Linked DNA regions of Oryzias latipes. The main gene of each other region encodes a partner of the protein of the gene in region 2 in a complex. Links are inferred from orthologs where the notes say so. Each region holds a gene or a part of one and is shown on either strand. Other genes may lie near its edges. The genes, in order: cpsf4 and cpsf3.

Region 1 (16,747 bases), on a different chromosome or scaffold from region 2:
AAGTGATTTTATAGTTTACTTTAACCTGTTTGGTTTTTGGTCATTTTAAAGACTGGGATGCAGCAGAAGAGAGAGAAAATAATCTGAGGAAGAGACATGAGGGGGAATTGAACAATTTAGACTTTGTTTCTTTGAAACAAACTTTAGCTTCATCATCTGGACAAAAACATGCAGTAACTTTCCCTCTGAACTGATGCTTTATTTCACAGTAGCAATCTCACTTCGCTTTGGATGGTCAGGCTTCTGCATCGTCCATTGTTTTCTGATAATGCATACCTCGTCGAGCATCGTTCCTTATGTAAGGCCCATGTGTCAAACTCAGGCCCGGCCCACCCGGGGTGTAATTATAGTTGGCCTGTGAGATCATAACAAATGTATATCATATACTGTACCACTAATACTACAAATCCCACAATGCTTTGCTTGTATGTTAGCGCGCAGTCGAAACCAGCAAGCGCTCCTCTTTCCTGTGGACTCTTTGAAACGCGGTGTCCCGCGTTGTCATGGTAATGGCTACAGAACACAAAATCTAAATAGTTCCATTTCTTCGTGTCTCATCTCCTTTTTCAGATTCTCTTCTCTCTTCTGCTGCTTTGCAGTCAAAGTGATCAAATTCACTAAACAGGTTCAAGGAAACTAAAATGTCTTTTTTTGCTTTTGTTGTAAACTGTGGATCACCGTAGGCTTTGTCTACATATGGGTTCTGCTATTAGAAGTTTCTGGTCAATATTGTTTGGATTGCTCTCTAAAGTGTTCCTACGGTTTTTTGATGTTAAATTACAGAACTCTAGACCAGATCTTTTTCCCCAATAGCTTTAGATTAGAAAAGAAAAAACTATAAGTGGTCTAAAAGTAAAGGTTGGAAGTTTGTCACGATAAAAAAAACTTCAAACCCACTTTTGTTGTATTTTGATCTTTGAAAAAAAAAATAACCCCTACAACTTTAAATCATCAAATCAGAGACACTTAGCTCTAGACTCTTAATCCTTAAAGCAGTTTTTCCTTTTGCTTTCAGGCCACGACAGATACTACAACAAGTACATCAATGTGAAGAAGGGCGGCATTGGCGGCGTGGCCATGCTGCTGGTCGGATACGTGGCCATCAGCTACTTGTGGGAATACGACCACATAAGTGAGATTCTTACCATCTGAACTACGTTTTTCCTGGTTTGGTTTGCCAGATTTGCTGAACATCTTGTTTTTTGGTAGAACACGATCGCTGGAGGAAGTACCACTGAGTCCCAGCAGCCATCGGGGTGAACCGTCACATCCTGGCACCTCCTGCTTCTATGCTCAGCTCTGTTGTATTAATGTGACCAATTAAAGACAATACCAGTTTCATGTTCCAGTGAGTTTGTTTAGTAATAGATCTGAATATCAGTGGTTCTGACAGGAACGTCTTCCAGTCTGTGTGTGACAATGGCTGAAAAGACAAGTTTCAAGTGTTCAATCACACACACTGATTGTGTTGACATCCCCACTATGGGTCATCACTCAGATTTATTAGGAAATTACAGACAGTAGCACTTCAGTGAAGCACTGACGAGAATCCTACCAGAAAAAAAATCGCAATGGCACCTTTAAAGAGGCTGGGAACTGGAACTATCGTTTTAAAGCGCACATCTTTGAGTCCAGACTTCGAACTGAAACCTTTTCTATCGTCCACATCCTGCAAAAATCAGGTTTCGTCTGTGTGAATTCCCACAGGAGAAAGTTTGAAGTCTGTTCACCGTGAGGACGAGGGCGTCCTTCCATCTCCTGAGGCAGCACACTGCAGCCCAAATTACTGTCCACTCAGGAAGGCAAGGTGGCCTTTGGTACATTTGTTGGCGTAGTGGCCCTTCTCACCGCACTGCAGACAGGATAACAGTTTGTAGTTATTTCAGAATGTTTAACCATTAAAGATCAGAGAAGGAAATACATGATTCATAAAGACAATGTAGCACAAAATGCAAATTTAAACTTGAAAGTTCAGGTTTTATCCCTTGTGCTATCCTAGGCACTTAGACATTGGGAGTTGGGTCATCTAGACCCACTAGACAGTGCTCTGAACCCTTTTTCTTCATTTTATTGTGATCTTCACTGGTGTCCATGGATTACATTAAAATCTTCACCTTTATCCATCTTTGTCATGGTAGGGAGAACACGTTAATGTAAGTGTGGGGTCATCTAAGATAGCACAAGTGTTAAACACTTGATCATCACACTGATCATCTTTTGATCTATAATAAAAGCATTCCCAGTGGTCTTTTCATTATGATTATGCCATTTTTAGACAAAAACAAAACTGTTTTCCGAGACATAATTTCTGCAGTGCAGCAGAAGTTCATTAGAATTTCTCCTCTGAGTTGGGGGTGGGACCACTGCTGCAGAGTGAGCCCACCCCCACTTCCTGTCACCCATCTATTTACACTCTCTCCTGCAAGCTTACAGCCCCTCACACCCCAACATAACATTAGTGCTGCAACAAAAATGGCGAGCAATATTGGAGCTATCCAGCTGTACAGTTTTGAGCCAGATGCCAGCTCAGACAAAAAGATGTTCATGAATCCATTTGTCTGACAGTGGATGCATCAGAATGGAGCTTGTGGCCCGCCCATTGTATTTTCTCAGAAAACTGTTCTCCATCCTGAAAAAAACCTCAGAAATGCAATTTTGTCTTCCATAATCATTTTTTAAAACACCAAAAACATTGTTTTCATCGATGTGGGTCTTTAAACCAGCATGATATGGCCTCAACTATTACTTGATCTTTTACATTCTGGGAGGAGCTGTGAACCTCAAGTTTCATAAATTGTGCATTAGGGCTTTACTTAAAAAAAAATGAATTTTATTTTTAATATGCATTGTCAGTTAATCAAATCCATTACCAATTTTTTTTTGGCAATTTCTATTGTAGCTTAAAAAAAACAAAAAAAAATCAATGTAATTTTTATTCAGAAAGTTGCACCTTTGTTTAGTTTAAATAATCAGTTAAAAGGAAACCGTTTTCATTTATCGAAAAATCTGCTCCAAAATTACTTTAATTTAACATCTGTGACAGCAGATTTTATAGCTGAAAATACATGTTTTTTGGATTTGAAAAAACAATTCCAATGAGCTTTGTTTTCCCTATGGGGGCGTAAGGAAAGGCTTCATTAACCCAGCTCTGTTACTGTGACCCCAAAAGTTACAACACTATTTCGACTTATTTTCCTTGCGCAGTATTGTTATGAAAGCACTTTTTGAGTTAATGCCAAAATGGGTTTTCAAAAAGCTGCCGTCCACCTGCCATTTATGAATTAAATAAAATTTCTGATATATTGGAAATGTTTTTGTATACTAGAGTTTGCATTATAGTTGGTGATGGCACAAATGTCCAGGAGAACATTTCCTGTCATAAACCAGGGTTGCTCACACTTTGCGCGGGGAAAGTAGTGACTATCTGATGACAGAATTTGCGCGCAGTGTATTTAAACACACACGTGCAGTGACGTATGTGTCTGAGGATATTTGATTGGCCGTTCTCCATGTCAATCAAGTGCCGTACTTCTCGTGAGGATTTTGATTTGCTGATGGATTTTTTTAATTCACTTTTTTATTTTTCGGTATTTGTCTTTGCTGGCCTGCTATCTAACCTCATGTCTTTGAAGATCGACCGGTCGATCGCATTCGACGTCATGAGCACCCCTGTCAAACGTTGCTAACAGCTTGTAATGTTAGAAATGACCAGAAGAGGGCACTGGTAGGTGGAGCATCAGGGTACTGATGTGGAGAGAGACTCCAAAGAAGAGTTGGTGATGCACTGGGACTGTATGTCGGAGAGAAACTGAAGAATAAAACCGAACAGATTGAACCCACAGAGAGTCCTGAATTCTATTTTTTGTCTGTAAGATAAACACAGACATTACAGCCCTGATTTATGTTAAACTGCTAATGTTCCTCACTGCAGAACAATGACAGAACAAGAGCAGAGCCTCAGGCGACTCACCTTGTAACAGGTGACCTGGTCGAGAGGTCGGGGTCCTCTGTTGGCATTCATGTTGTTTTGATGAGAAATGATGTTTGTGTTGTTCTGCTGGCGTTGGCCTGGACTTGAGTTGGTCAGCTGGATGAGAGAAAGAGACGAGCGTCCGCTGGAAGCTGCAGTCTGTGGCAGAGAATGAACAGAGAGCTGTAAAAAAAATCCCATTGAAGCCCAGAAATACTTGAAGCACTTGCAGGTACTGAATCTTGGATCCATTTTCGCACCTTTCCCTGGTTTTGTATTTGCTGTGGTAGAGGGGGCTGTTCAGATGTTCCCATAGGCAACTCAAACCGCGGGCTGCAGAGGAACATTTATCATCACATGATGTCGCTCACATTCAGAACTTTACCCAAACCAATTACACCATTATTGAAAGCAGAAATGTTTACTTACTGCATAAATTTACAGGATTTGCCTTCTGGACAGAAGCCCACCAGATAATTCACACAGATCACTCTTCTGGTGTGTCTGTGTCTGCAGTCAGGACCTAGTGGGGAAGGAGAACAAAATGAAGATTACTTATATCAGTGGTTCCCAACTTTTTTCAGGCCCCGGTCTGATTGAACAGTCAATATTTTCACACAGCAGTCTGTATGAGACTGAAAGGGACGACCAACTTTTTTTTATCTTTGCCTTCAGTTTCCCTTTAACTTTTGAGGGTCAAGTTTATCTTCATCGTCTGTAAAATATTTGTATTTCTATGGATATAGTTCACCCTGAAAGGCTTAAGAAAAGCAGGATACAGGCCCGTTAATCCATAACTGTCAAAGTGGAAGCTACAAAAATCGAATTCCAACTTCAGCCTCGTCTGACTTTTAAGGACAGATAAATATGAAAAATAATTGTGTCTAAAAATTGTATTTTCTAAACATACTAATAAACCATTTCAGCAACGTTATTTGCAAACATCCTCGTAACATTACACAGCAGGTTGCTGAATATGATGCCCCATTGTTATGGCGTGTGGGAACAACTGTCACAATGAATCCACATTTGCAGTAAAGACTCCTGGTTTTTGTCTGTTCAAATGCAGATTTCTTGTATTTTGAAGATAAAGGCTCTTCTTCTGTTTCCTCACTTAATATGCTCTATGAACAAAAAAAACTTTCCAGGAACATTTGCGTTTTTGTCAGCACGTCACTGAGCAATTTGTTATGTGTCAAGAATGAGTCAGATGTGGTGGGGAGAATTCAGAAATTTTTCAAAATAAAGCCTCTTTCCGAATCAAATAAAAAATAAAAACGGTAAAAATGTGGGTTACAACGAATCCAGAGCACGAAAACCTGACACTGGGCTGGACCTTACCGTGTTTGCAGAAGCCTCTGTCGTACCAAGGACAGTCTTTGATCTTAGACTCTGGATCGATGTGCAGGAAGGGACATTCCTTGTTGCTGCACTCACCTGAGAGCCAACACACAGTTTGAATCTATCAGACCTGCGTGCTAAGCAATGGAAAGCGTTTTAAACGAGGAAGTCAAGTGAACCCACCAAACTTTGAGTAGAAATAGCATTCAGGCATCTTGGTCATGTCGTATTCGTGCAGAAACTCGCACTGGTCTCCCTTCTTACAGAGCCCTCTGAGCCAGTGCTTACACACCACCGTCTTCTCCCCGCTGATGTGACGGAACGGACACATTCCACCTGAGAGACACAGACACAGCTTTGTGGATTCATACGACACATGCAGGGATCGTTTTCCTCACTTTTATATGAAAGCGTGACCCACCAAAACCTCACACAAATATAGACATACGATTAAAAATAAAGTCTCTGCAGAACTGCCTTCTTTGTAACCCCAGAAATGTAAAACAGGTTTTAGGGTGCACATAAACAGGACAAAATAAAAAGTAAGAAGGCCAGACAATAATGATTACATAAATGATTACATCCAGACCTTTTAGCCGTATTTTGCTCATGTCTGCCTTAGTGTGACACTGAGTACATACAGAAAATCACAATAAAACACAAGAAGTTAATGAAATATAGAGCTGTAAAAGGTAAACTGAACATCACGACAGTGAAAGCCACGAACGGGCAAATGTCCCAACTAAATTCTGTAAAAATCTTAATCAGTGTAAGTCATCTATTAAAAAAAAATGAAATCAGGATTTTACAAACAGCAGTAGTTTGTAACTAAAGCTCTGGCTCATTATTTAAGAAAAAGGAAATAAGGTTATTAAAGAGTTATTTCATAAAGTTTAAAAATTATTTTAAACATTTTTTACAAGTTAGCGTTTGTCAATAGAATGCAAATAAGGTTTTAAAGAATAATTATTTCAAAGCAAACTTTTGCAAAGAAAACAAAAAAGTTTAAATTTACTTAGTTTACCAAACATATCCAGAAAGAAATAATAATAATCACCATTAACCATTTTAAATGAAAGAAAAATATTTAAAAATAGTTGTATCCACCTCTTTAGTTTATCAAAGAACTTTTTTTCAGCGGTTTATTATTTCTGTAATAAAAAAGTTATAGTAAACTGGTTCCCGCCTACAACGTACTAAAATGACAAACGATACCAACAACATGTAAACATTGCAGTTTCCTTCCAAATAAAACGTTTCTGAACATTTAAAACTGTTAAATGCAGATAATAATAGCAGCGCAACAGATGCTTCTGACTGTAGATGCTTTACCTTTCATACACGTTCCCTTCATGAAGAACTCGCACACAGCTGAGCCGGACTCTGCAAAAAGACAACATTATAACTGAACTGACAATTATAACGTGTTGTTTCTATTAAAAATAACAGAAACCAAAGAGGGCGAACCTGAGAAAAACTATGGTTATTCTCAACAAAAAAAGATGCTAGCATTAGCATAAGCTAGCATCCATGCACTTACTGTCCATGCCGGGAAACGGCAAAGGCTGCGCTCCCAGCTGCTGCTCCACAGCGATCTCCAGGTCGAACTTGATGTGATCCACGTTTGCTAGTAGCTCCTGCATGTTTGCCTTGAGTTGGTAGCTTTCAAAGCAAAGACTTGTTCGGTTAACTTAAGCTAAGATAGCTTAATGTCGAAACTGTTAGCCGGCGATTCCCTCATTAGCCAGCTAAAGTGGCTAACGGGGCGAGCCAGGCGAAACAACAAGAGCAGAGGATAACAATGAGATAAGGTAAGGATCACCGAAGTCCTTATATCAACTATTTCCAAACAAACAGGTGAACATGACTTAATATTTTTGTCTCCGAATCGACAGAGGTTCTGTTTGAGGACGCGCGCACATTGACCTCTGACCTGACGAATTCAGACGGATCTAAACGATTGTCGAGCAAGTCGAGTGATGTCACCGTTGAGTTAACCAAACCTGTTCATTTCTGACACTTTGCCTCTGGCAAATGACCAAAAACGAATGAAAATTTCATTTATTTTACTATTTTATTGTTTAGACATATTGGACACGTATGTGCATCTGATCATTTTTCTTAACTTGCACCTCGTGTATGCATTTCCATGTCCAATTATTTATAAAAATAAACAAAAAACAGGTTAAAGTTCAATTCAGAGATTAGCATGTCACACACCAGATCATGAATACAAAATGCTTTTGATGCTTCATCACTGCAAACCCCTCTCCTAAACAAAAAATCACTCATTCAAAGTCTGGTATGATCAACCAAATGATTTGATCCATTGACTGCATAAGAGACTCTAATACAACGTTGTGATCTGCTGGTTTTAGGGTGAAACACGACGCTTCAGAAATGAGTAATTGTTCAGCATTTTATAATCATTGGAAGCATGATGATATGACATGTTTAAGCAAGAATAAGCTTTCTAAGCTTTTATTGTGTTTTTCTACAGTGGAAAAAGAAAAAAAAAACAGTATTCAATACTTTAATACTTCAATACATAGATGCTGAAAAGGCTTTTGACAAAATAGATTGGACATTTTGCAAGTTCGATTATTAGTTCGAATTTGGAAAAACATGTAATTGTTGGTTTAGATGCCTGTACAAGAACTCTAAATCAAAGTAAAAATGATTGGACATTACAGTTTTTTAAATAATAGAAAATAAAATAAAGGGGAGTCAGACCTTACCCTCTACCCTTTTTTGTATCAAACCTCTAAGAGAGATGATACATCAAGAAATTCATACAGGAGTTTATTTATAAATGATCCCTTTATGCCAATGATATTTTGCTATTTGTTAAAAGCCCGTTGCTTCAAGACTTACGTCATGTTGACAGGAATATAGACGTTTCAGGCTATAAAATAAACCAAAAGAAAGCAGAAGTAATGATGTTATCAGGAATATGGCAAAATAACCTAAAACTTTAGATATCAATAAAAATAAGAAGATTTTATTGTATTAGTCTTTAAAAGGACAAAGAAAAAACAGTATTCATTGGCGGTTTCATGAAATCTTTTTATTACAGTGAATGAGTTACACATACTCATGGAATGTTTTTGGACTTAATTTACTAAAAATCGAAATTCCAGTCATGAATTTCCAGTCAGTTTTGATCGTAACATCTAAAAGATGTGAATCCCAAGTAAAACATCAGGACTCTGTAACATTACTAAATCATGACACAATGACATTTGCAGGACTGAGCTTAAATGTGTCTTTAATAAAAACAATTCTATTGAATTATCAAGTGAGGAATGCTTTAAGGTCAGAATACACCCATTGACTGGTGTGTTTAAACAATAAACGTTAGTCCAACTCTCGTCTGGCCTCACAGTTCCGGCAGGCCGGGCATGGGGAACTGACCGGCAAAAGCCTCCACCTCGGCTCTCAGCGCAGCTACTCGCTCCTGAAACTTCTCTCCCTGAGCCAGAGCCTGGACAAACTCCTTCAGAGTGGCTTTGGGATCCTGGCTCCTCTGCACATCCAGGGTCAATTCAACAGCTACAGGAAAAAACATTGGCGAAAGTCACGTTTTGCCTGAGAAACATCACTTTATGTTTTTAGGAGCATTTTTAGATGGATGGTGCACCTTTGTGGATGAACAAAGCCACCTTCTTGAAGTCTTCCTCCACCAAGCCCCTGGAGGTCAGAGCTGGAGAGCCAAACCTGAGTCCACTGGGACGGAGAGCGCTCTTGTCTCCTGCAAAAATACAACAAAAAAAAAAAAGATATTTGAAAGGTTCCTTCCCTCTTAAGCTTACAAACTGATCAACTCATTTGCACCCCAGCTTATGTCTGAATACCTGGACAGGTGTTCTTATTGCAGGCAATAGCACAGGCCTCCAGCACCTTCTCAGCTCGTCCACCATCAGTACCTTTGTTGCGCAGGTCCAGGAGGATTAGATGGTTGTCAGAACCGCCTTTATAGAAACACAGAACATCAGAAAACATCCCATGGAAGAAAATCCATATAATTACAGATCTTACCAGTAACAATCTTGTAGCCGTGGCCCACGAGGGCATTGGACAGAGCTTTACAGTTAGCAAGAACCTGCTGCTGGTAGACCTTGAACTCGGGAGTCATGGCCTGTTTGAGAGCCACAGCAACGCCTGTAAACCAGAGAACGGGGGAAGCAGATGCTGACATGGCTCAAGAGCTTTTAGGATGAAAAACAGAGAAGAAATGAACGACAGGACACCTGCAATAGCGTGGTTGTGCGGTCCACCCTGCAGCCCCGGGAACACCGCCTGGTTTATCAACGACTCCAAGTTGTACAGAGTCTCTTTTCCTTTGGCATCAACACTCCTTACTCCTGGTTAAAAGTCCATTTGTTACCAAAAAAATCCTATGAAAGTTTTTCTTTTGAAATGTTATTTTTTTTTTACCTTTTCTGTAGAAAATGACTCCAGCACGGCAGCCGCGCAGCGTCTTGTGGGTCGTCGTGGAAACAATGTCACAATGCTCGAAGGGTGACGGCACAACCCCAGCAGCTACTAAGCCACTGATGTGAGCCATATCTCCCATCAGGTAGGCGCCGTTCTCATTAGCAATCTGCTTTAAGCGGGCGTAGTCGAGGTTGCGGGAATAGCAGCTGGTTCCTACGGGCAGATGGAGACAGTTTAGGAACATTTTAAAGCAAACTTGCAGCCTGTGCATGTGTGTGCGTTTAATAACCTGCAATAATGAGCTTAGGGTGAAACAGTCGTGCGTTGTCTTGAAGTCTGTCATAGTCGATGTAGCCGGTTTCTTGATTCACCTTGAAAGGGAAAAAAACATCAGCTGTGTGGTAACGTCCGTGTAGTTTAGATGGTTCACTCTGAAGGTGCTTCTGTTAGTTGTCACTTTTTATTCATACACTTGTGTCTTTGAGAAACATCCAGAATTCGAGCTAACAACATATATGCATACTCATTTTGTACCTTATACGGCATGGACTCAAAGAAGATGGACGTCGCAGAGATCTTCTTCTTATCGGTCATGAAGCCGTGTGTCAGGTGACCTCCGTCAGGAAGGTCCAGCCCCATGATCCTGCCATGAGGTTCCACAACAGCCGTGTACACAGCAAAGTTGGCTGGAGAACCTTCCAGAAGAAACACAGTACCGGTAAATGAAATCCATATTTTACAGAAGAGCTGCCTCCAGAAGGTTTACATGGAGGAGCCATAAAGAGCCCAAAGAGAAAATCAGAATCTGTCAAAATGTTTAGAAGATATCGTTTATTTTCAAATACACTAGACGTTTGGTAAATGATACCAGCAAGAATTTTCAATCCCTTTAGGAGCAACTCAAGACACTGCCCCCTACAGGTGGAGATGGGAATTGTGGTTTCTGGTTGAGTCTGCACAATAAATTGGTGAAAAAGCATAAATATTTGAGTCATTACTTTTTGGTTTCCTGCCAATGAAACAACTTGTTTATTACATTTTTGCTATATAATTTAACTTTATTTTTCAAATTATTCATCAAAAGAGGCGAATTTCAACTGGAGGGGCCACTAAGGTGGTCAGCAGTGTTCAGAGGTTTTCAATCACGTCGCTTAAAATCAGTCACTGCAAGAGTTTGATACCTGAGTATGGCTGCACGTTCACTCCCCATTTCTCTGGGTCCAGACTAAAGGCCTCCAGTGCTCTCTTCTGACAAAGCCTCTCCAGCTCATCAATATGCTCTGTGCCACCATAATACCTAAATAAACACACATCCAGAATTATAGGTAAACTAAGGTAAACTTCAGTGTTCTAGTAATGACTCAATCCTGACCTTTGGCCAGGATAACCTTCAGAGTACTTGTTGTTCATGCAAGAACCCAGAGCTTCAAGAACAGCCCTGCTGGCAAAGTTCTCAGATGCGATCAGCTCCAAGCCGTACGTCTGCCTCTTCTTTTCTTTCTTTATGATAGAAAACACCTGAATATAAACAGAAACACTGCCATCACAACAAGCCCGACCTGAAAAACCTAAAGAAATGTTCACAGTGCTGCACGTTGGTGAGGAGAGACACAAACCTCAGAGTCGTTGACAGCCAGAGGCTCCAACATCATCTTGTTGTGAGAGTCCCAGATTTCTTTATTAATGCTGTGGCCATTCGTCAAAGCCATGTTTGTCTCTTTACTGGTTGGAAGCAGATAAAATCTAAAATAATAAACAGAAGTTGAGGCAAATCATTCAACCAGAAAATCCACTTAAAACTTTATCAAAAAAGGAATTAAGTGTCAAAGCCACATGGATATCAATTCAAACACAATCATAGACACGACGCTGAAGTTGGCTTCCGATTCACAGCTTCCGATTCGCGAAGGCACAAAAGAAACATTCCGCTGCATTTTTCGCATTAAGATCACCCAAAACCGGGTCCTGTTCAAAAACCGCTGGACCTGGACTGCTCAAACCTGGATTAAATTATACATTAGATACTAAAGAACACATTAAATATAGTTTCTGATTTGTGAAACCTTCCTCTGATTTGTGAAAATCTGAAATAGATTGATGTTTATCGCATTTTACGCACTGAGTCCACCTTAGACCAGGTCCTGTTCAAAAACCGCAGGACCTGGACTGCTCAAACCTGGATTAAATAATAATTTAGATACTAAAGAACACATTAAATATAGTTTCTGATTTGTGAAACCTTCCTCTGATTTGTGAAAATGTGAAATAGATTGATTTTTACAGCATTTTACGCCCAGAGTCCACCTTAGACTAGGTCCTGTTCGAAAACCGCTGGATCTGGACTGCTCAAACCTGGATTAAATAATAATTTAGATAGTAAAGAACACGTTAAACCCAGTTTCTGATTTGTGAAACCTTCCTCTGATTTGTGAAAATGTGAAATAGGTTGATTTTTATCCCATTTTACGCACTGAGTCCACCTTAGACCAGGTCCTGTTCAAAAACCGCAGGACCTGGACTGCTCAAATCTGGATTAAATAATAATTTAGATAGTAAAGAACACGTTAAACCCAGTTTCTGATTTGTGAAACCTTCCTCTGATTTGTGAAAATGTGAAATAGGTTGATTTTTATCCCATTTTACACACTTAGTCCACTTCAGACCAGGTCCTGTTCCCAAACCGCAGGACCTGGACTGCTCAAACCTGGATTAAATTATGCATTAGATACTAAAGAATACATTAAATATAGTTTTTGATTTGTGAAACCTTCCTCTGATTTGTGAAAATGTGAAATAGATTGATTTTTACAGCATTTTACGCCCAGAGTCCACCTTAGACTAGGTCCTGTTCGAAAACCGCTGGACCTGGACTGCTCAAACCTGGATTAAATTATAATTAAAATAGTAAAGAACACAATAAACACAGTTTCTGATTTGTGAAACCTTCCTCTGATTTGTGAAAATGTCAAATAGGTTGATTTTTATCCCATTTTACGCACTGAGTCCACTTCAGACCGGGTCCTGTTCCAAAACCTCAGGACCTGGACTGCTCAAACCAGGATTAAATTATAATTAAAATAGTAAAGAACACAATAAACACAGTTTCTGATTCGTGAAACCTTCCTCTGATTTGTGAAAATGTGAAATAGGTTGATTTTTATAGCATTTTACGCACTGAGTCTCAAAATCTCAACATACAAAAGAAACTGGGAAACAGATGTCAGATTGGACAAATAGTTATGGTCATGGTTAGCATGTACCACTGACTTAAGTTTTGTTTTTCTGTTCAATATTTCTTGGTTTGTTTTCTGATTTACTTTAAAGTCCCTGTTATGGTGTTTTCCTTAAAGTTGTCCTTCCCTTGTCCCCATTATCCTTAAATTGCATAAAATTCGATGAAATGATACTTTTTCCCACAGTGGTGTTTGAACAGGACCCGGTCTGAAGTGGACTTAGTGCGTAAAATGTGATTAAAAATCAACTTATTTCACATTTTCACAAATCAGAGGAAGGTTTCACAAATCAGAAACAGCATTTATTGTGTTCTTTAGTATCTAAATTATTATTTAATCCAGGTTTGAGCAGTCCAGGTCCTGCGGTTTTGAACAGGACCTGGTCTAAGGTGGACTCAGTGCGTAAAATGCGATAAACATCAATCTATTTTAGATTTTCACAAATCAGAGGAAGGTTTCACAAATCAGAAACTGGGTTTATTGTGTTCTTTACTATCTTAATTATAATTTAATCCAGGTTTGAGCAGTCCAGGTCCTGCGGTTTTTGAACAGGACCTAGTCTGAGGTGGACTCTGGGCGTAAAATGCTGTAAAAATCAATCTATTTCACATTTTCACAAATCAGAGGAAGGTTTCACAAATCAGAAACTGGGTTTAACGTGTTCTTTACTATCTAAATTATTATTTAATCCAGATTTGAGCAGTCCAGGTCCTGCGGTTTTTGAACAGGACCTGGTCTGAATTGGACTCAGTGCGTAAAATGCGATAAAAATCAACCTATTTCACATTTTCACAAATCAGAGGAAGGTTTCACAAATCAGAAACTGGGTTTAACGTGTTCTTTACTATCTAAATTATTATTTAATCCAGATTTGAGCAGTTCAGATCCTGCGGTTTCTGAACAGGACCTGGTCTAAGGTGGACTCAGTGCGTAAAATGCGATAAAAATCAACCTATTTGAGATTTTCACAAATCAGAGGAAGGTTTCACAAATCTGAAACTGTGTTTAATGTGTTCTTTAGTATCTAATGTATAATTTAATCCAGGTTTGAGCAGTCCAGGTCCAGCGGCTTTTGAACAGGACCCGGTTTTAGGGTGGTCTTAGTGCGAAAACTGCAGCGGAATGTTTCTTTTGTGCCCTCGCGAATCGGAAGCTGTGAATCGGAAGCCAACTTCAGCGTCGTATCATAGACTGACGAGCCATCCTCCCAAACTACTGATACATTTCAGACAAAAGCTTCAAATTCTCTGCTGCCTGACACAAAATGTGGCAAAGATATGGTCTCAACGAGTACCCTTTATACCACGACGGTCCTGTCAAAACCATGTAAACAACACATTCCTTTAAAAATCTATGAAGTCTCTCAAGTTAGGAGTCTGCACATGACTGCGATCAGCTGCCACAGCGAGCTCGTGCGTTTCATTTGCAATCATCATCCGCTCAACAGACGCGTACATCTGAGCTAGAAAAGCGACTAAAAGTTTAAAGAGAAGCCTGCAACGATAAATAATCACAGTAAATCGCAATAAAACTAAAAACTAGCTTAGTTTTGACAGCTGCAACCATTTTATGCCAAATACCAGGCGGATTGACGCTAAATCAGTATGAAGATAAAATATCTTCCTTTTGGACGACAACTAATTTTACCAGCTTTGAGGTAAAAGTGAACTCACTAAACACCCGTTAGACTCCCGCCGCCGTCTGACGCGACACAAAAAAATGTTATCTAACCGTGAACAAAGTCCGCGAAACTTTCTACCAACCCGCTCTCGACTTTTTTCTTCCTGAGTTAGATTGACGTTTTGAGGCGCAATACCGCCATCGTGCGGTCGGAGTCAAAACTACGTTTTTTTTCTTTCTTTCAAACATGAAGATACTTTTTTGCAAACACCAAACAAAATATGTTCTTTAAAATTATAGTTGACAAAAGAAAAATTACTTTATAAGGAGTAGCTTTTTTTGTTTGAAAATGCATTGAGTTATTGTTAAATTAAGTTTAGATTGCAAAACTAAGTTTTGTTGACAAAACATTAACATGGTTTTCCTTAAAATTTTAATTCAATTCAATCTTATTTATATAGCCCAAAATCACAACAACAGTCGTCTCAGTGGGCTTCGTACAGGTAATAGTAAAGTACACATAAAATCAAAAAGGATCATGAATACATAGAATCCAATTGGAAAATTCTAAACTGAACTAACTAAAAAGACTGAACTAAACTCGACATCCCTGCCCTTAGACCCTCCTTCGGGAGATTAGGAAAAACTCCAAAAAAACAGATTCCGGAAATAAAGAAGAAACCTCAGGGGTGTCGACATGAAGGAGTGATCCTCCCCCAGGACGGACAGGCGATGTACCAGAACTCTTGGAGAAGAAATAGCTTCTCTAACTCTACAACTTCATATTTAAATAGTCCATCATATGGGCTTCATCCAGATGGAGATGTTGGACAGCTGAGGGCGCGAGACCAGCCAGAGTCAGGATCCACACCCAAGAGTAGGAGCAGGAGGAGCAGAGACGAGCCAGGGACCAGGGACTTGGTCCGGTATGGGAGCACGGATGAGCCAACTGGAATCTGGAAGAGGGACTGTACAAGAATCGCACTGTACCAAACAGGGTCACGGAGAACTAAATGATAAATGATCAAGAACAGAGGAGAGAAGGAGAGTAGAAGTAGATGAGAATAGAGGACAGAACCCCAGTGCATCATAGTTTCCCCAGCTTCAAACTCCTAGCAGCCTAACAACAACTAATTGTTATTAAGTTTAATTGATTAATTAATTAATTATTAATTTTTGTATATTAACTGTTATTAAGTTGAATTCAAACATGTTAATAGTAAGTTAAATAATCTCTGAATACTAGCTGGTCGGACAATAAGCCTGTCCAAAGAGGAATGTTTTCAGTCTAACTTTGAATGTAGAAACTGTGTTGGACTGTCTTACATGAGCTGAGAGTTTATTCCATAAAACAGGAGCTTGGTGGCTAAACGCTCTACCTCCAACTGTACTTTCACTAATTCTAGGAACCACAAGCAGTCCTGCAGTTTGTGAGCGAAGTGTTCTGTTCTGTTTTAGGTAAATTCATTGTATTTCTGGGTGAACAGCAATGCCCTGCACAGTCATTGTTGAGCTAAGCTGAAGCCCACAAATGCTCAAAACATCTCTGATTTTAACAAAAATGTTGTCCTTTCCTAATTTAATTAAAACCGATTTGAAAGTATACTTAAATATCAAACATGTTTTATTTCAAATCAAAACAACAATTGCATAAACTAAAGTGAGTCAATACAAGACTTTGAAAATTTGATTTGAAAGGGGATTGGAAGAAGTTTATGCTTATAGGAATCCAATCCCACACTCAACACCACTCATAACCGACGACAACAAAATTAAACATTTGACATTATAACGTTAACACACGACAAACACAAGACAAAGACAGACAAACATGCCCAAACACTCCGACCACACCCACGTAAAAGAGAAAGAAAAAAAAAAGGAAGAAAGAAACAGGATGCCTCAGCTGAAATAGAAACAACAAACCAAAACATACCAACAACACGAGTAAGCATATATAAACACATGTTCTATTGTCTTTTCCTTCATCATCCCCCCTCTTTCCTTTTTTTCTTTTCTTCCCCCTTTCCCCCCTTTCTCTTTCTTCCTCCTTTATGTATTTTTTTCTTCTTTTCCTTTTCCCATAGCTTATGGAGATTCAATACATATAAAATAGAAAAATTAAAAAAAACACACAACAACTTAT
Region 2 (16,521 bases):
CAAAACAAGCAGAGACACACACCCACAAACATACACACTTGCAAAAAACTGACAATCCCATAAACAAAGAAGTCATGAACATTATTTAATATCATTTAGTTTCACAGAATATTGGCACAAAAAAACAACTGTCTAAATGTTAGCCAGGAAGAGGGGGGCCAGTCAAAAGGCGGGGCTGAGAGCGTCGTAGAGCCGATGAACGGCAACTTCAATCATCTCCCTCAGAGGCTCGTCTTCTGCACACGTCACAACCTGCAGGCCAACAATCGGACGTCAGCCTGGTTCCATAAACACAACCTGCAGTTCAAACTTCTGAATAGTTTCCTGTGACAGCTGTGCTACGACGGGCTGTCAGGGATGGAACAGAGTCTACGACCTGAGGAGCCCGGTCCAGAGTCATGAGCCTCTGGGATGTGGCTCCTCATCTCTGTCACTCCTCAAATGTGTGACTCCAAACTCTAACCCTACCCTAACTCCTCTCATGTGCGACTCCTGTCATGTGCTGTACTTACTCGTGTGACTGGGTTGATGGTTGCCGTGGCGCCGTCCACCATCACACTGAAGCTTTCACTGTTGCTGAAGTTCACACAGTCCTCCCCGAACATGTCACTACAAAACAAGACAACACCTTCAGATTTTGGAAATCTTTCTCCACTATGAGGCCCATACGGCCCACTTGACTCCTCAATAGGAAGCGATGACAAGACGGCCCGTCTGAACCGGCCGTCCTGCCGCGGCACCTTGGGATCCGAGCCCAAGCACTCAGCTGTGGCACACCAAAAGTGTCATGTGTGCACTCACTGCAGCATGAGCTCCAGTCGCTCCACAAACACCTCCTCGTCAAACGTTTCCCTCCGGCCCTCCAGAACTAAGGCAAACAGATGCAGTTGAACCACAGGCTCCCTGAATGGAGCAAAATAAATCAGTGGCGCTGCATTTACTGACACTTCTGGGTGTTGGGATTTGACTGAACCTCCAGGACCACGGTGGCCACCACGTCAGCATACATGTCGTTGAGCGGGCTGGAGTTCCACTGAGGAGAAACATGACAGACGCTGGAATGAAGCTACAGTTCAACTCTGCAGACAACACATTCCTGTCAACGTTCAAGACGGTAGCAGCAATTTGTGTGAGCATGTTTGAACGCCTGTACACAACTGTGACGTGCTGTTGGGAGGGGTGTGTGTCTGACCTCCAGCTGCACCATGCCGGCTTCATGGACTAGACTAATGCTCTTAAAGATCTTCACTGTAATTTTTTCAGCTCCCTCCACCTGCTGCACGTCACCTGTAACACACAAAAATACTTTTCCATGAGAAAAACACCAACACACACACCAACACACAATGACTGACAGAGAGTCTGAAGCAGCTCAGGTGACTTTTACCTGCCAGGTTCCTCAATTGACTGACCAGGAGAGAGATGGGTCCTGTGAAGGGGATGGCCTGACTCTGAGTGACCGTGCCCACAGAGAGATCTGTATACTCTGCAGATGAATAGAGCAACACGTCCAAATGAAATCAGACCTGACCTCAACCAATCAGAGACCCTGATTGGGTCAGCAAAGGAAAGTGGCTGCTGCTGTTCCAAAAAAAACACCAAAACTGTATTAAAAAGAACATAAACTTCCTGCACAAAAGGTTAATGAAATCTTCTGACCGGCCACCACACGCATGTGGCCCCACCCACCACACGCATGTGGCCCCACCCACCACACGCATGTGGCCCCACCCACCACACGCATGTGACCCCACCCACCACACGCATGTGGCCCCACCCACACGGACACAAAAAGACAATCACACAGAGTACTGACTGCAAAGGTCGGACGGCATCAGGATGTGGTAGTTGAAGTTCCTTTTTACGAGGATCCCAGAAACCCTCTGACCTTGGGCACACTTTTGGTCAGCGAGTGAGCCCATCACCTGCAGGACAGACAGCATGCTGGGAATTAGACTTCAGCCAGACACATGGGTGCACGTGTGTACTTACCTTAGCCAGCTTCTCTCCTCTGAAGTTCAGAGTAACAGCCTCGGTATTCCTCGGGTTGTGGACCTCGATGTGGACCTCGTCGTTGTCCTCGTACTCACGGATCAGAGCCGCCTTCAGCCGGGCCATCTCATTCTGCTCTCCGTGCACCAGAATCTGAAGATCCAGAAACATTTGCTGATCGCTGGTTTTGCGCTCCAAGAGGACCACACTTCACACTGAGCTCCTCAGAATCTAGAGGTTCTCAGAACAAGCAGAGCTTCAGGTCAAAAGGCTGAAGCTGCGCTGATGCACAACTTCTTCAATCCAGACATTACCAGTATTACCAATATTTGGGTTTGTTGTGCTTCATGACAGGAAGTTATAATAATAATAATGGATTGGATTTTTCCAATTATGCATTCACTCCTCATTTACACTTGCTAACGGTAACCTTTGACCCACAGCTGCCCTGGGGCAGACTGACAGAGGGGGCAGGGAGGGTGAGGTGTCTTGCCCAAGGACGGTCTGACACTAGAACCAGCAAACAGCTACACCGCAAAACACATCTATCTATCTATATCTAAACAAGACAAGAATTCCTTTAAAGTTTCTGTTTTTTCCCCGATGTCATAAAACACATGCATGTATTAAAATATGTGCATCGTTTTGTATTATTGTGTGTTCATACAGACCAGTGTGTTGTAGTTGTGAGTCTTTAGTCGTTTTAAAGACTCACAATGACATAGAGCAACAAGTGAGAGTGTGTTTTTGTTGGCTGAGGTCAGTGTGAACAAATGCTAGAAATAACCAGCAGACCTGAAGTGCAGAAATTCCATGCAGCTCCTGAATGCACCTCCAGCCACAGTGTATGTGACTTAAATGTGTGCAATAAAGTCAGAATGAAATGTTTGGGATTGATGTTCAGGCAGACACTTCAGTCCTGGATGTGAGTTTGAGCCGTCTGTCAGAGATGCTAAAGAAGACCTCACATACCAAAGTGACTAGAATAATATAATCCTTCAAAAACAACATGCTAAAAGGTGACAGTGCAGGACATGTAGAACACAGATATACTAGTCCAGGCCTGGCATTTTGCACCAAAGTCACTTTATTCAACTTCAATGTGGCTGACTCGGCGTGCACGGCTGCTTTGATAGGATGGATCTGGGCTTGATCTGCAGGTGTGTGAGTGATTACCACATGGGGAGGCTTGAGTGCTCGGATGAACTCGCTTGTCTGCTGGTAGTCTGTGTGAGCAGAGAAGGAGATGTAGTCCACAGACATCTTCAGAGGGAGCTTCTGGCCCGACATGGTGGTGATCTCGTCAGGCTCCGTCATGATGTGCTGCAACAGCAGGATCAGAGCAGGGGCAGAAATGTGAAGCACGTTTCTCTGTGGAAATGTGAGCTGGACTCTGTTTTCACTTCAAGTCTCTGAACCTTCTGAGAGACGAAGGGCAAACAGACCAGCGATGCTTCCTCCACCAGCATCAGTTCTACTTTTGACAGGTTTTCTACAGTGTTTCAGTCAAATTGGACTGATCTTCACCCTAATGTGTTCCGTGTTGTCATGGCAACACACTGCCACCCACAGTCCTTCAGCTGCATGTCAGCAGGATTCCAGCTGGTTCAAAGCGCTGCAGAGATGGAGGGGGTTTCCCCCCAGTGACGGGGGCTTTGGCTAAGCAATTCTTGGCAGGTTCACCTTGGCCAGCGTTCCCTCAACGCAGTATCCAGCGATGATGACACCGTTTCTCTTGTCCGTGCACCAGCTCTCAAACAGCTCCCGGGACAGACCGCTCTGCATCATCCCGGGGGACGCCATGACCACGCTGGGGCCAATGTCATCAAAGTGATCCATGCTCTGAAAGCACAACAGCATTAATACAGGAGGCGGCTTCAACAGAAACTCTTATTTTAACGGTTTCATTTGTCATTAATTTTTGTTCTTTAACCACCTCTTTTACAAACATTGAAGCTGTTTCAAATGAAACTACATTTAAATAAGAGGGAACTGTGTCACTTTTCCCTTTCTGCTTAAATCATTACCACGATGTTGCCTCTGTTGAAATAAAAGTGTCTTTCCCTGGACTTTTTATGCCACATTTTATGTCAAAATCCTGGGAGAAACAGCAAGTTCTCCAGTGGTGTGAGATGAACCAGTCACATTAGGCTGAAGAACAGGAAAATGCAATAAAGTGTCAAAAGTTGAGTGCTAGAACACACATGAGCAGCAATGTCTCCACTCTCCAGCTGGAGTTAGCTCCTCCACTGTGTTCATGTCTCCTGGAAGAGGCCGATGCTTCCTGACGCCTGTGCTGTTCTCCTTCCATCACTTCAGTGTCACACATTCCACACTGTTGGGAGGAAGCTTCCTCCCAGGCTGAGCAACACCATGACAGAGCATGACAGTCTGGTGAGGGGTGGGGGGGTTGGGACAGCGCTTCACTTACAACTTTGTGATGCCATCAGTTCAGTAAGTGCACATTAAATGATGCTCTGAGTTTCATGAACATGTCAGAAATGTGGCTTTGGCGTGTGACTTTGTCTTTGCTGCTGCAGTTCTGTGCTCACCTTCAGGTTACTGATGTGTTTGAAGACAAAAGGGTTGTTGACGTTGATGGCTTTGCGGATCTTGTCGTTCATGGCGTTGATGTAGGTTTGATAGACAGCCATGCATTTCCGGGCCAGAGACGAAGCGTAGTAGATGGGAATGTCGTGGAGCTCTGGGTGGTTCTGCCAGTACTCGTCTGGACCACAGGCACAAACAGTTTCTGCGTCACCATCATCACAGGCTTCAGAACCAGAAGGTGATGATCTGTGCCTGTGCACTCACCCAGGATGAGCAGCAGCTCTTGAGCCCGTCCCAGAGCAAACACGGGGATCAGACAGCGACCCTCCCTGTTTACAATGTCGTGCACCGTGTTGCAGAAACGGGCCTCTCTCTCCTCACGCTTCTCATGGATGTGTGTTCCATAGGTGGATTCCTGACAGAAAGGATCAGATATTTGTTCAACACCATTCTGAGACGGGACAGAGGACCCAATACTACCAGACCAACAGACTATGGAGACGAAAAGCTCTTAGTTTAGAATTCATTAAAACTCGGTATATTCATTTAATGAGTAAAACAAAATTCTCAATAACTCCTACGGTGTTTTTGCATTAATAACATGAGCACTTTCCATCTAGAGTCTGGTGTCTTTTGGCTGCGTGTTTGGACAGCTCACAGGTCTAACCGCCCTCAGAAGCAACGTTTTTGTGACATTTGAGACGCCGTGCGCTGTCTGCATGTACTTTAGAAAAATCCAGCCGCACTTTGGACCCTTTGCTCGCGTCGCTCTGCCATCACTGTGCGTTTGTCGTTACACACTTGTTAGCAGTGGAATACATGAGGGACAAAGTATGAGCAGCCCCCCCCCGTCGTACTGGAGCAGGAAAGGAAAAGCAGCCACATTCAAACAAAGTAGTGCACGCTGTGTGGGCGCTGCTGCCCCACTTGGCCGGTACCGTTGATCCCATTATGGCTGAAACCTATCAGTCCAGTAACTGATGACGTGGCACTGGTACCAAACGATACCGTTTCAGTACTGCATCCCTACTGATGTCTGAACATGAGACAGCATGAGACATGAGCCTGCGCCTGAGCTGGTCACTAAGGGGAGGAAAAATATCTGATCATCGGGGGGGGGGGTTTAAAGCCAAACTCACTGTGATGAGAATGTCTGGTTTCACACTTGGGATCTCCGCCGCCATCAAGTGTCTGTCCTCTTGGCGGGAGAAGTCTCCTGTGTACAACAACTGCAGGGACACAGACAAGCACTGAGCACCAGAGACAAACCGCTTTAGGAAGACGGATCCAGACACAAACCTACCTTGACTCCTGCGATCTCGATCATGAACATAGCGGCTCCAAGCACATGGCCAGCATGATAGCACCAGAACTTGATGCCAGCCACCTCCTTTACCTCGTGGAAGTTAATGGTCTCAATCTTTTCCATGCTGTCTTCCAGGTCCGTCTCCGTGTAGAGCATCTCATCAGCAGAAATGTTACTGCAGACACACAGACGGGTCAGAACAAAAAACCCAAGCTGTGCCCCAACTCCAGAATATCAGCCACAGGTCCTACGGCATCACTAGAGAACCTGAAGTAGCTGCATTAACCCTTGTGCTACTTTAGATGACCCCCCCCCCTTCCAATGACGTGTTCTCCCTACCATGACAAAGGTGGATAAAGGTGGAAAGATTTCATGTAATCCATGGACACCAATGAAGATCACAAATCATTGAAGAAAACAGGTTCAGAGCACTGTCTAGTGGGTCTAGATGACCCAACTCCCAATGTTAAAGTGCCTAGGATAGCACAAGGGTTACTAAGACGTCTAACCTACAGGATCTGCTGCATCAGACCTAAGACTTTCACTCCAACACGAGTTGTACCTGACTTTGATGTAGTCTGACAGCAGCCAACGATAGATGGCTTTGGTGGCATGCGTCATGAACGTCCGCCCTTTAAAACTGGTCTTCTGCAGAAACCAAGGCAGGGCTCCGCAGTGGTCCAGGTGGAAACTGTACAACAAGAATGGATGGTTAGTGGAAAGCTGCATGTGCACCTTTGCACACGTTCACGGCAGCTCTCACTTACTGACTGATGAGCAGCAGGTCGATCTCAGCCGGATCGATCAGGTCAATGTACGGCAGGGCGTCCATCCCCTCCAGACCAGGATGGATCCCACAGTCTAGCTGGAGTACCAACACACAGACAGCTGTTGACAATGTTAACAGCTGCTGTGACAAAGAAAACCAAAAGAATCTCACCATGATCTTCCTCCCTTTGAACTCCAATATGATGCAGGACCGTCCCACCTCTTGTCCAGCCCCCCTGGTCACAATCACATCAAACAGTCACACAGTAAAGAGCTGTGCTTACTCATGAAAGTACCCAAACACAGTGCTTAGACCAGGGGGGTCCAACTCCAGGCCTCAAAGCCCAACCAGAAATCCTGCCTTGTCTGGAGCTCATGACCTGGTGGGTTTATCCAATAAGGAGCTTCAACGGCAGGTTGGTTGGGTCCTCAGTCATGATATAAATACAGGGTTGTGTCAGGAAGGACACCTGCCAAACCACCTGTGTGAATCAGTGGAAGCTGATTGGCTGTGGCGACCCTGAAGGGATATGCCGAAAGGTGAATAACAAGGACAGGTTGGTTGGAAAAGATGGTGGACATCGGCCCTCGAAGTCTGGATCCTCACACCCCTGACATAGACTTTTAACTCAATGACAAAGAATGGGGGCACTTGTGGATCAACGTGATCAAAACCTCTGTGGACCGGTCCTCAACTACTTGCCCAAGTTTTTCTACCTCCTTTACATTTTTGTCACTGTAATTAGTCATTTCTCCTGTTGGGATGTGCAACGCTGCAGCTTCACCTCATACAAGACCAATGGAGAGAACTTAGTCTGGACTGGAGAGGTTTGATACTTCTCACCCTCCTTGTGACATGGGGGAAACTCAAGCCGCAAGGACTCCAACCATGTGGGGATAACTGGCCAACTGTTGAGCAACAATCCAAAGGTGTCAGGCACCAATGAGTCTCCCAAACAGGTCAGAGTCAGCTGTCAGGTTGAATTAATTCAATTCAGCTATAAGTTAATGGGATTTTTTTATTTACAATAACGCTGGTTGTAAATTGTAAACAGCAAATTGTGTGTGTGACTGGGTGAATGGGTCTGTGACTGTAAAGCGCTTTGTCCTTGTAGGAAGAAAGGCGCTATACAAGTATACGCCATTTACCATTTAAATTAAATGAATTTTCATTTAATTTAAAAAAAAACTAATGGAAAAAAAATCTAACTCTGCTAATTTGTCCTTGGAAAGCCGGGAGCAAAAGAAACAAAATTCCCATTTTGGGTTTTTCAGAAACCATAAGGTGGTGTGGAAACTACTTTGACTGAAATCACTACCAACTCAAAGTTTAATCATTCAAATGTTTAGGAGACTCAAGGCTCATCGATAGAAAATTAAAAAAAAGCAATTTGAAATGCAAAGGTTTTGTCTAAAAAAGATGCACCCGCATCACCAGGACATCACTCACTCACTCACACACCCCAACCCCCCCCCCCCCCCCCCCCACACACCCACACACACACACCCACACACCCCCCCCCCCCCACACAAACACACACACCCACACACACACACACACACACACACACACACACACACACGGCATTCTCCAAAACTCAGCAGGAAACTGAAGCTTCATTATTATGTTTTACTGTCGAAACCAAAGGAATCAGCTACCTGGAATCACACGTTGTTTGTTTGTTACAAGTTAATTAGGAAAAATGTTCCTGCATGTTATTTTGAAATATTTGATCGTCAACATCAAAGTTTGTTTCTCTCTGGTGACTTCCACCAGTGACTTAAATGTCCTACAGCACTTGAAAGCAACACTTCCATAAACTAATTTGAATGAACGTGAGCTTTGATTTCCTGCTGTCTTTCTGTATCTGCAACAAACGTCATCATAGTTTAATGTTTTCATTGTGAAAATTAAACTATTATTACATTTGAGGTGTTTTTGGTGTCTTCAAACATTGTTTCTCTTTCGGCAAAAGTTGCACAGTCTTCAGCATCATCATGTTCACATTCAGAGCTCACGCCTTTAAAGGTCCAGAAAAGTGGAAAAAAATGTATCTGCAGCGGGATGACAAGCCAACATTTTTTTTAACCTGGCAAATCCACAGAAATTATGAACGTATATTAGAAAGCATAATAAATCTCGCTCAGTTTAGACATGGAGCGGAAATGCCCATTTAGGTTTGACCGCCAGTGTCCGTTGTTATTCGGTGACGGCTCACTAGCTGCAGTGTTCGGTGGGTTCGGTTCGAACACTCACAGGGGTCGGATCAGCAGCTGGTCGCTCTCTTCAGCAGGAACCATCGCGTCCACCCTGCGTTTGGACGCCATGTTTGCTTCTTCAACGATGCCGCGCCTGCTGTTACTTCCGGTTCTTCCCGAAAACTCTCCGTGCGACACAACGCCTGTAAGTTCCGCCCCCACTATTTCTTTCTTTCTATTTTTTTCTTTACAAACCAAGTACAAAACCAAATAAAAAACAAAAACTAAAAAAATTCTTAAAAATAGGTAAATATAAGGCAAAAAAACAATTTAAAATAACAATAGTTTGGATATATTTCTGTACATTTATGTAGTTTCTTGTTTTGGTTTGAAATGCATTTAGGAAAGAAACTTAAAGTAATACAATATCTGAAAAATAAATAAAAAAGGACCCCCCCCCCCCCCATTTACATACCTAAATAGAGTGTCTACATCTACACAAAATAATAACAAGATTGATGACATCAGAAACGTTCAGGTTTTCCATAAAGAAGAGAACATTAAGTAATGAAAAAGAAGAAATATTACAATTTTTAAGTGACAATTGATTATGAATAATTTTATCTTTTTGCAACAGTGTTCTAATTTTTCAGTTTCAGAAAATACATGGTTTGGATTGAAATTTGAATCTTTTATGTAAAAAATCTCCAACAGGGTACATTTTTGATATTATTTAAAATCCGTTTCTTTCATTTTAGGTGAAAGTATTTTGTGTATAAAGAAAATGATTAGTCTATCAAGGTGGTTTCTGGGTCACGTCTATTGTGAGAGAAAAACCTTTTGTTTAAAGGTTAGAGTCACTAATTTATTTTTGCATTTTTATCTTTTATGGGGATATCATTAATGGTTAACTCTGCAAAGTGTGGTTTGATTGCATGGTAATATTTTATGAACAAGATTAAGTAAAGGTATGAGAATTACTTTAAAGACTTTTTTATAACAGCAACTAGAATCCTTAATTTTGTATTTGGTTACAAACCCATTGTAGGATAACAGCATTGCATCTGTACGCACCAAGTCATGAACAAAAAACACACCATCATCACACCACTAAGACATAAACAAGGATATCTTGTTTACAGTTACTGTATAATTCTGTTGTCCCATAAAACAGTATTGTGGGGGGAAAAGTTGTGGGAGTTGTTGGCATTTTCCCAAATTCTAATGCTTGCTTGTAAATGTTTGACTGTATAAATGTTTTTTTGACAGATCATATTCACACTTCTGCAAAAGGATAGTTCTCCGGTAGAGTTTGTTTGGGATATGATACCACATAGATTTCATACGATACCAATTTATTCTAAATGCTACACTTTGTAATTCAACATCTAAAGCTTTTGAGCCATTATTATCTATTATCTCTAACCAATTATGGTTTTAGTAAAAAGTACGTTTTATTTTTCCAAATAAATTTAAAGAGAATAGAATTAGACAACTTGATCGTTTTTGGGGATGCATAGATTGAGTGGCAGGGAAACACAAGTCTTGAAAAACCTTCTGCTTTAGATAATAGATTGTGGCCAAATATGGATAAGTCACGTCCCAACCACTGATTTAAAGTTTCTATATTGTTTTCAGTCTGGGGGTAATATTTACACTTTCTCTATCATTACTGTTTTCTGTCATTATTAGACCAAGATATTTCACTTCACAGGTTATTTTCAATATTACTTAGAGTGCAGGTATGAATAGGCAAGATTTCCCATCTTTTGAGATTTAGAATAAGGCCAGATGCTCTTGAAAAAAAAACATTTTATCAATAACAATATATACCACACACACACACACACACACACACACACACACACACACACACACACATATATATATATATATATATATATATATATATATATATATATATATATATATATATATTTTTTTAATAAAGCCGTGTCATCAGCAAATTGATTCATTTTAAAATTCTTACCTAAAATGTTAATAAACGCAAAATCTGGAGAATATTTCAGAAAGATGGCTATAGTATTCAGCTGAGCTTATAAACAACAACAGGCTAATAGGACATCCCTGGCAAACACCTCTATTTACAGGAAAGCTGTTTGAGAAACCTCGGTTAAGAATAATTCTGCTATTTATGTCTTTGTAGATCATTTTTTTTTATGTTTCAAAATTTTGATTCAAAGCCATAGGTTTCCAAGGAGCTAAACAAAAATGCGTGTTCTAATGAGTCAAAGGCCTTAAAAAGAATCCAGAAAGAGGATAAGACTATTATGGGGGATAATTTGGTTGTAACTTAAGATATCTAAGATTAAACAAGTCTGATGATGAATGTGTCGCCCCTTAATAAAGGCTGACTGTGTTTCATCTATGATCTGACCTATTCCTGATTTCACTCTGTTGGCATAGACATGTGCTCATATTTTATGACAACAGAGAAGTGTGATGTGTCTCCAATTTTCAGTTAATAACACACCGTTGTCTGGTTTTGCTAAAAGGGATGTAATGCCTCTTTTAATGTTTGTTAATTCCTTGAACGCCTCTAGCAAAAAATCTTTGATGTTATTCCAAAAGTGTTTATAAAACTCAGCTGTAATTCCTCAGGTCCTGGTGACTTCCCACTGGCCATTTGGGGAACAGCCGTATCAAGTTCAGGTGTGTTCAGATTCTGTGAGATCTCTGAATTTCTTATTTTAGATATTTCTGATCTATTTTAGATCCTCTCTGGTTCTGAATACATCTATTTTAGGGGTTTTATCCCGAATTAACTTTTCAAAGAAGATGTTGTGACTTGAAAAGTGAGAAGTACAAAAGTTTTTTAAAAAGTTAGTGATATAATCCTTAACCCTCAAGTGACCGGGTGGGGTCATTTATGACCCCAGCCATATAATTGAATGTGCCAGATCTTTATTTTTTATCCGAATTTTTTTTCCTACCATGAGTTTGTCAGTCTACTAATCCTACACAGTTTCATCGTTTTTTGCAGGGATCAGGCAATTTGTGTGACATCACAACTCTTGTGGGGTCATTTATGACCCCGAAGAGAAGCACTGGTTTTTAAACATTGGTTTTTCAAGTTTATTAAAATGTTCCACTTCTAATCAGTACTTTATATTGTGTTGCAGTGAACCATGGCCAACAGACCTAGGCTAGCAAGATTTACAGCTGCTGAAGCAATGGGACTAATACTTCAAGCCCAAAGTGATGATGAAAAGGGTTAAGGTTAGGGTTAGGGTTAGGGTTAGGGTTAGGGGTTAGGGTTAGGGTTAGGGCTAACCCTTCTCAGAGAGCTTGGGTATGAACTAGTGAAGCCACATGTATAGAAAAGGTCACAGTTTCCAAACCTCCATAAAGCAACTAGGGAAGGAATAGCAAGCATTGGTGTTGGTCCTGCTAACCCTGCAGAGCAGCCCGCAGTTGCTGCAATACCTGGCAAACGCAAGCGCTGTTCGTTTTGCCTACGCAACATTGACAGGAAAGTTTCACGTGCATATGCTTCATGCAACCAGCCAGTGTGCCCAGAACATAGCCACAAACAAGTGGTTTGTAGTACATCGCTGAACTTCGTTTCAATAGCTTTGAGGGAACTTGTTTTCATAACTGGGTATCTGCTTTTGAGAGTTACAATTTTCAGTTATTTTTTGATATCATATTACACATACACAAACAAGATGTTTGTGTGGTTTTTGTTTTAAAAACAGGCATGGTAGTAACATAGGTTGATTGAATGTGTTCTGAGTAGGTTGACCTCCTTACCAATTTTAGCATATTCCCTAGTCAGCAAGTCAGCTAATTATTTTTGTTGATGTTAGCAGTATGCTAGCTCAACATAAGTTAAAATATTTCTACTCAAACTCCTCTTTTTTATAATGTATGTTTTCATTTAGGTTGGCAAAAAAAAAATGTCCTTTTGCAAGTTGGAACAAGGACTGTCTAAATAAATGTTATGTTGTCCTTAAAGTCTGTGTTTTGGTTATTTCTTGCAATGTGTATTATTAACACATATTACATTAGATTATAAAAAAAAAAAAAACCTGTCTTAAACACGGGGAGTAGTTTCAGTATGATAAACCCCCCAATCAGCCATTCATAATAAGGATCCCTGTAGCACAATGGGTTCATAAACGACCCCACTCAGTCATTACAGTCAGTAAAATACCTTGGTCTCGAGGGTTAATAGTGTTTTGGTCTTCAACTAGAGAGTTTTTAATTTGTAACTTGGTGATAGATTTTTTTCCTTTCTCTACTTTCTTCCAAGTTCAAAAAAGAAAGTAGAATTTTTTCCCTCTTCCATCTTCAATCTATTTTGCCTTTGAGCGATTAAATGTGTCATGATAGACAATAACTAGAACAGACCCAATAGCTGAAACCCGGAAAGATCCCACACGAGGGCTTGGCAGAGAAAAGAGTTTTATTGTTCTTGGATGTAGACAAGGAGATCCGTGGAGACAAACACTGGAGGAGGTTGAGACGAGGAGAGGACCAGACGGTAAGTATTCCCCTTGGTTGTTGTGGGTTCTTTGTGGTGAGGCGAGTGAGGATGAAGTGGGCAGGTGGCGGAGCGAGGCGTAGAGAAGTGGCATGGCTGGAGGTCTTGACGTCAAGATGGTATAATCAGGAGCGTGAGATGAATCCAGGTCGGCACTTGGTGGGTGAGGTTTGTCCTGCAGACAGGAATGATAACTTCATTGTTTGGTTCGGCAAGAGCGAGGGAATCACTAGGAAACGAGGCACACACGAGACCAGGTACTTCACTAGTAGGCAACAAACTCACAATGAATACAGGAATCAGGGCATCCTAAACACTGGAGTTTGATGAGGGAAGTGCCGGCAGCTGGGTCTAATCTGAGGATGATGAGGAAGAGAAGGGGGGAGAGTACTTCCGGAGGTACCATGACAAAATGCTCCTTTTGCTTTTTCTGTATAGTTTGTCTCATTAAGATAGTAATTTGTTAATTTCAATGACAATCTCATGACTTAGTTGAGTTAAATTACACAATGTGTTTTAATATGGAAATTATTTTAGTCTGATCTCGTCTGTTTTTCCTAGCCAATAATTGTCCTTCAATAATAGCAGTTGTTCTCTCATCTGCTAATAGGAGACAAGCATTGTATTGCTTTTATATTAAAAATAAGTGATTTGATTTTTTATTTTTACAAAAGTTTGTGTTATGTAAAAGGTTGTCATTGAGTTTACAGTGTTCAGGCTTTTTCCTGGGGTCCCTGCTATTCATTATTTACTTTCTTCCCCTTAGTTATTTCTCCCGTAAACACAACATTCACTTTCACTGCTATGCAGATGATACCCAGCTCTACCTCTCCTCTGAGCCTGACTCCACTCTTCCACCTGCCTCGGTCTCCAAAGGCCTCCTTGAAATAAAATCCTCGTTCACTGCAAACCTTAAATAAACTCCCTAAATTCTCCATTTCCTTTTATGACTGCTCCATCCTTCCCTCCCCACAGGTTAAGAGTCTGGGTGTCATCCTCGACAGCACTCTCTCCTTTACTGCCCACAACAATAACATCATCCGGGCCGCTTATTTCCACCTCCAAAACATCGGCCGTCTCCGCCCCTCTCTCAGTCCTCACTCCACAGCCATTCTAGTCCACAGTCTCATCACTTCCCGTCTGGACCACTGCAACTCCCTTTTATCTGGACTCCCTCACAAAACTATTCACAAACTACAACTGCTCCAAAACTCTGCAGCCCAGATCAGAACACAAACCCCCTCCACTATGCACATCACACCCGTCCCACAGAAGCTCCACTGGCTACCACTACCTCCTCAGATTAACTACAGAATCTTTATTCTGACCTTCAAAGCCCTCCATAATCTCGCCCCTCCATATCTGTCTGACCTTATCCATGTTGCCATTCCCACCCGCTCCCTTAGGTCTGCCTCCTCGCTCCAGCTTGTTACACCCACCACTCGGCTCATCTCCATGGGGGGCAGAACATGCAGCTGCTCTGCCCCCCAGCTCTGGAACTCTCTTCTCTCAGATTTATGGATCATGGACTCACTCCCTCAGTTTGCTATAACTCTCAAAACCCACCTCTTCAGACTAGCATATCCACTCTTATAAATTTATGATTCTATTTTTTTGTTTTTTAACTCATGTTTCATTCTTGTAACTGAATTTTATAATTGCTTTGCATCTGTAAGGCGACCTTGGGTGTCATAATCAACATAACTCAGCAGACAAATTGAGAAAACAAAGTTAAACATCAACAGCAACTAAACAGAGATTAAACTATTTCACAGAATGATGTTGGTTTAAAGTCACACTCAGGTAATCTTTTTATCTGTTGTAAAAGCGTTCCCTGTAGTCTTTTAATTATGATTATGCAGTTTAAGGCCAAAAATCAAGAAACTCAGTGGGGCAAAAAAGTATTTAATCTGCAAGTTTTCCCACCTAAACAGATGAGAGAGGCCTGTAATTTCCATTATAGGTAAACCTCAACTGTGAGACAAAATGAGAAAAAAAAAAAACAATCCAGAAAATCACATAAACCAAGACAATCTAAAATGTACATTTTTAAGGCACATAAATGTTTAATTGCAATATTTATAGATGACTTTTGCTTAAGTGTGAGATTCAATTGAAAAAGTTTAACATATTTGAGCATCCAGTCACTTTTCTGTTTATTCACATTGATGTCATGTGCAAATAAAACTAAAGGAAAAATGTGTCAAAGTCAGATCTGTACAATCTGGCTTGTTTGTTATCTGGTTTGGATGCCTCCTGGCCTGTTTTGGGGATGTCTTACCGGGCAGAGGCCCCCAGGGAAGACCAAGAAACCATAGGAGACACTAAGATTCTCGGCTGGCCTGGGAGAATATTCTGTGAGAATGTGCAGAAAACTCCGTCCTCAAACCCAGCTATTACAGACCCTCAGTTTAGATGTGAACTTGAACAGAGCTCAATGTCTTCGGGATCCCCTTCCCCATTTAGAGAAAGGGCAACTTCATCCAACCTGACGATGTCCACAGAATGAAGCATGGAGAAAGCATGGAGGAACTGAGACAGCAGGTCAGAGCACATGTTTTTATTCACGGTTTCATCCACAGTTTAAATCCCACCCATGTCTGTGTTGAAAGAGCATGACATTATTATCTTCTGCATAAAACGGGGTTCAAGCGAAAGCGGGCACAAGTTCAGAGTCTGTAGAAGGCACAAAGGTGCTGCAAGGGTGCAGGCTGCATGTTTCTCAGAAGTTGACCCTCCCTTGCTGGTCCAGGATGGGGGGAGCAGGAATCACTCTGAGATGAAGTGAACAAAGGTGACAGGAAACGCACCCCGCCTGCCCGGGTCTCCTTCCACATGTCCGATCTGCAACAAAAGGGCACTGGCCTTCAGACAATCTCATGCCCCAGCACCCTCTACATCCTCACAGCGGAGCGGCTTATACTCACCCACCAATCATGGTCTTCCTCCCCCTCCACCACAATTACCTCCCCCTCCTTAAATGTCAGCTCATCCGGTTGGTCGGCAGAACAGTTGTAGATGGCCTTCACCCTTTTAGGCTTCTGCTGCTGCATTTTAATACAAAAACATTTTGCTGGTTGACTTGCTGAGTGCTAGCCACAGATTGTGAACAGGTTAGGACTCACAGAGAGGTTTTTTCTGGGTTTGGGTAATGGAGGAGCTGGACTATGTGGAGATTTGGACTGAAGACCTGCAATAC

The links.
Region 1: cpsf3 (region 2) and cpsf4 share a complex: the UniProt entries of both Homo sapiens proteins name them as parts of the cleavage and polyadenylation specificity factor (CPSF) complex. The link is inferred for Oryzias latipes from reciprocal best matches to the Homo sapiens genes CPSF3 and CPSF4.

The regions. Positions count from the first base shown.
Region 1 is NC_019866.2:19,278,866-19,295,612, forward strand, and holds cpsf4 (cleavage and polyadenylation specificity factor subunit 4), read right to left. Parts: upstream 7,270-16,747; 5' UTR 6,955-7,269; coding exon 6,852-6,954; intron 6,695-6,851; coding exon 6,644-6,694; intron 5,648-6,643; coding exon 5,495-5,647; intron 5,408-5,494; coding exon 5,312-5,407; intron 4,494-5,311; coding exon 4,400-4,493; intron 4,304-4,399; coding exon 4,231-4,303; intron 4,130-4,230; coding exon 3,971-4,129; intron 1,853-3,970; coding exon 1,784-1,852; 3' UTR 1,464-1,783; downstream 1-1,463. Other genes in the region: atp5mf (ATP synthase subunit f, mitochondrial), read left to right, coding at 1,016-1,132, 1,210-1,238; shmt1 (serine hydroxymethyltransferase, cytosolic), read right to left, coding at 8,691-8,863, 8,952-9,062, 9,166-9,282, 9,350-9,472, 9,562-9,675, 9,749-9,961, 10,038-10,119, 10,283-10,443 and 3 more. UniProt on the Homo sapiens protein: Component of the cleavage and polyadenylation specificity factor (CPSF) complex that play a key role in pre-mRNA 3'-end formation, recognizing the AAUAAA signal sequence and interacting with poly(A) polymerase and other factors to bring about cleavage and poly(A) addition.
Region 2 is NC_019882.2:22,747,520-22,764,040, forward strand, and holds cpsf3 (cleavage and polyadenylation specificity factor subunit 3), read right to left. Parts: upstream 9,002-16,521; 5' UTR 8,945-9,001; coding exon 8,874-8,944; intron 6,853-8,873; coding exon 6,789-6,852; intron 6,714-6,788; coding exon 6,616-6,713; intron 6,540-6,615; coding exon 6,411-6,539; intron 6,024-6,410; coding exon 5,846-6,023; intron 5,772-5,845; coding exon 5,682-5,771; intron 4,958-5,681; coding exon 4,807-4,957; intron 4,721-4,806; coding exon 4,545-4,720; intron 3,835-4,544; coding exon 3,676-3,834; intron 3,316-3,675; coding exon 3,169-3,315; intron 2,146-3,168; coding exon 1,993-2,145; intron 1,926-1,992; coding exon 1,817-1,925; intron 1,487-1,816; coding exon 1,388-1,486; intron 1,288-1,387; coding exon 1,193-1,287; intron 1,034-1,192; coding exon 946-1,033; intron 869-945; coding exon 802-868; intron 610-801; coding exon 513-609; intron 253-512; coding exon 163-252; 3' UTR 70-162; downstream 1-69. Other genes in the region: arf-GAP with SH3 domain, ANK repeat and PH domain-containing protein 2, read right to left, coding at 16,092-16,166, 16,250-16,369, 16,448-16,512. UniProt on the Homo sapiens protein: Component of the cleavage and polyadenylation specificity factor (CPSF) complex that plays a key role in pre-mRNA 3'-end formation, recognizing the AAUAAA signal sequence and interacting with poly(A) polymerase and other factors to bring about cleavage and poly(A) addition.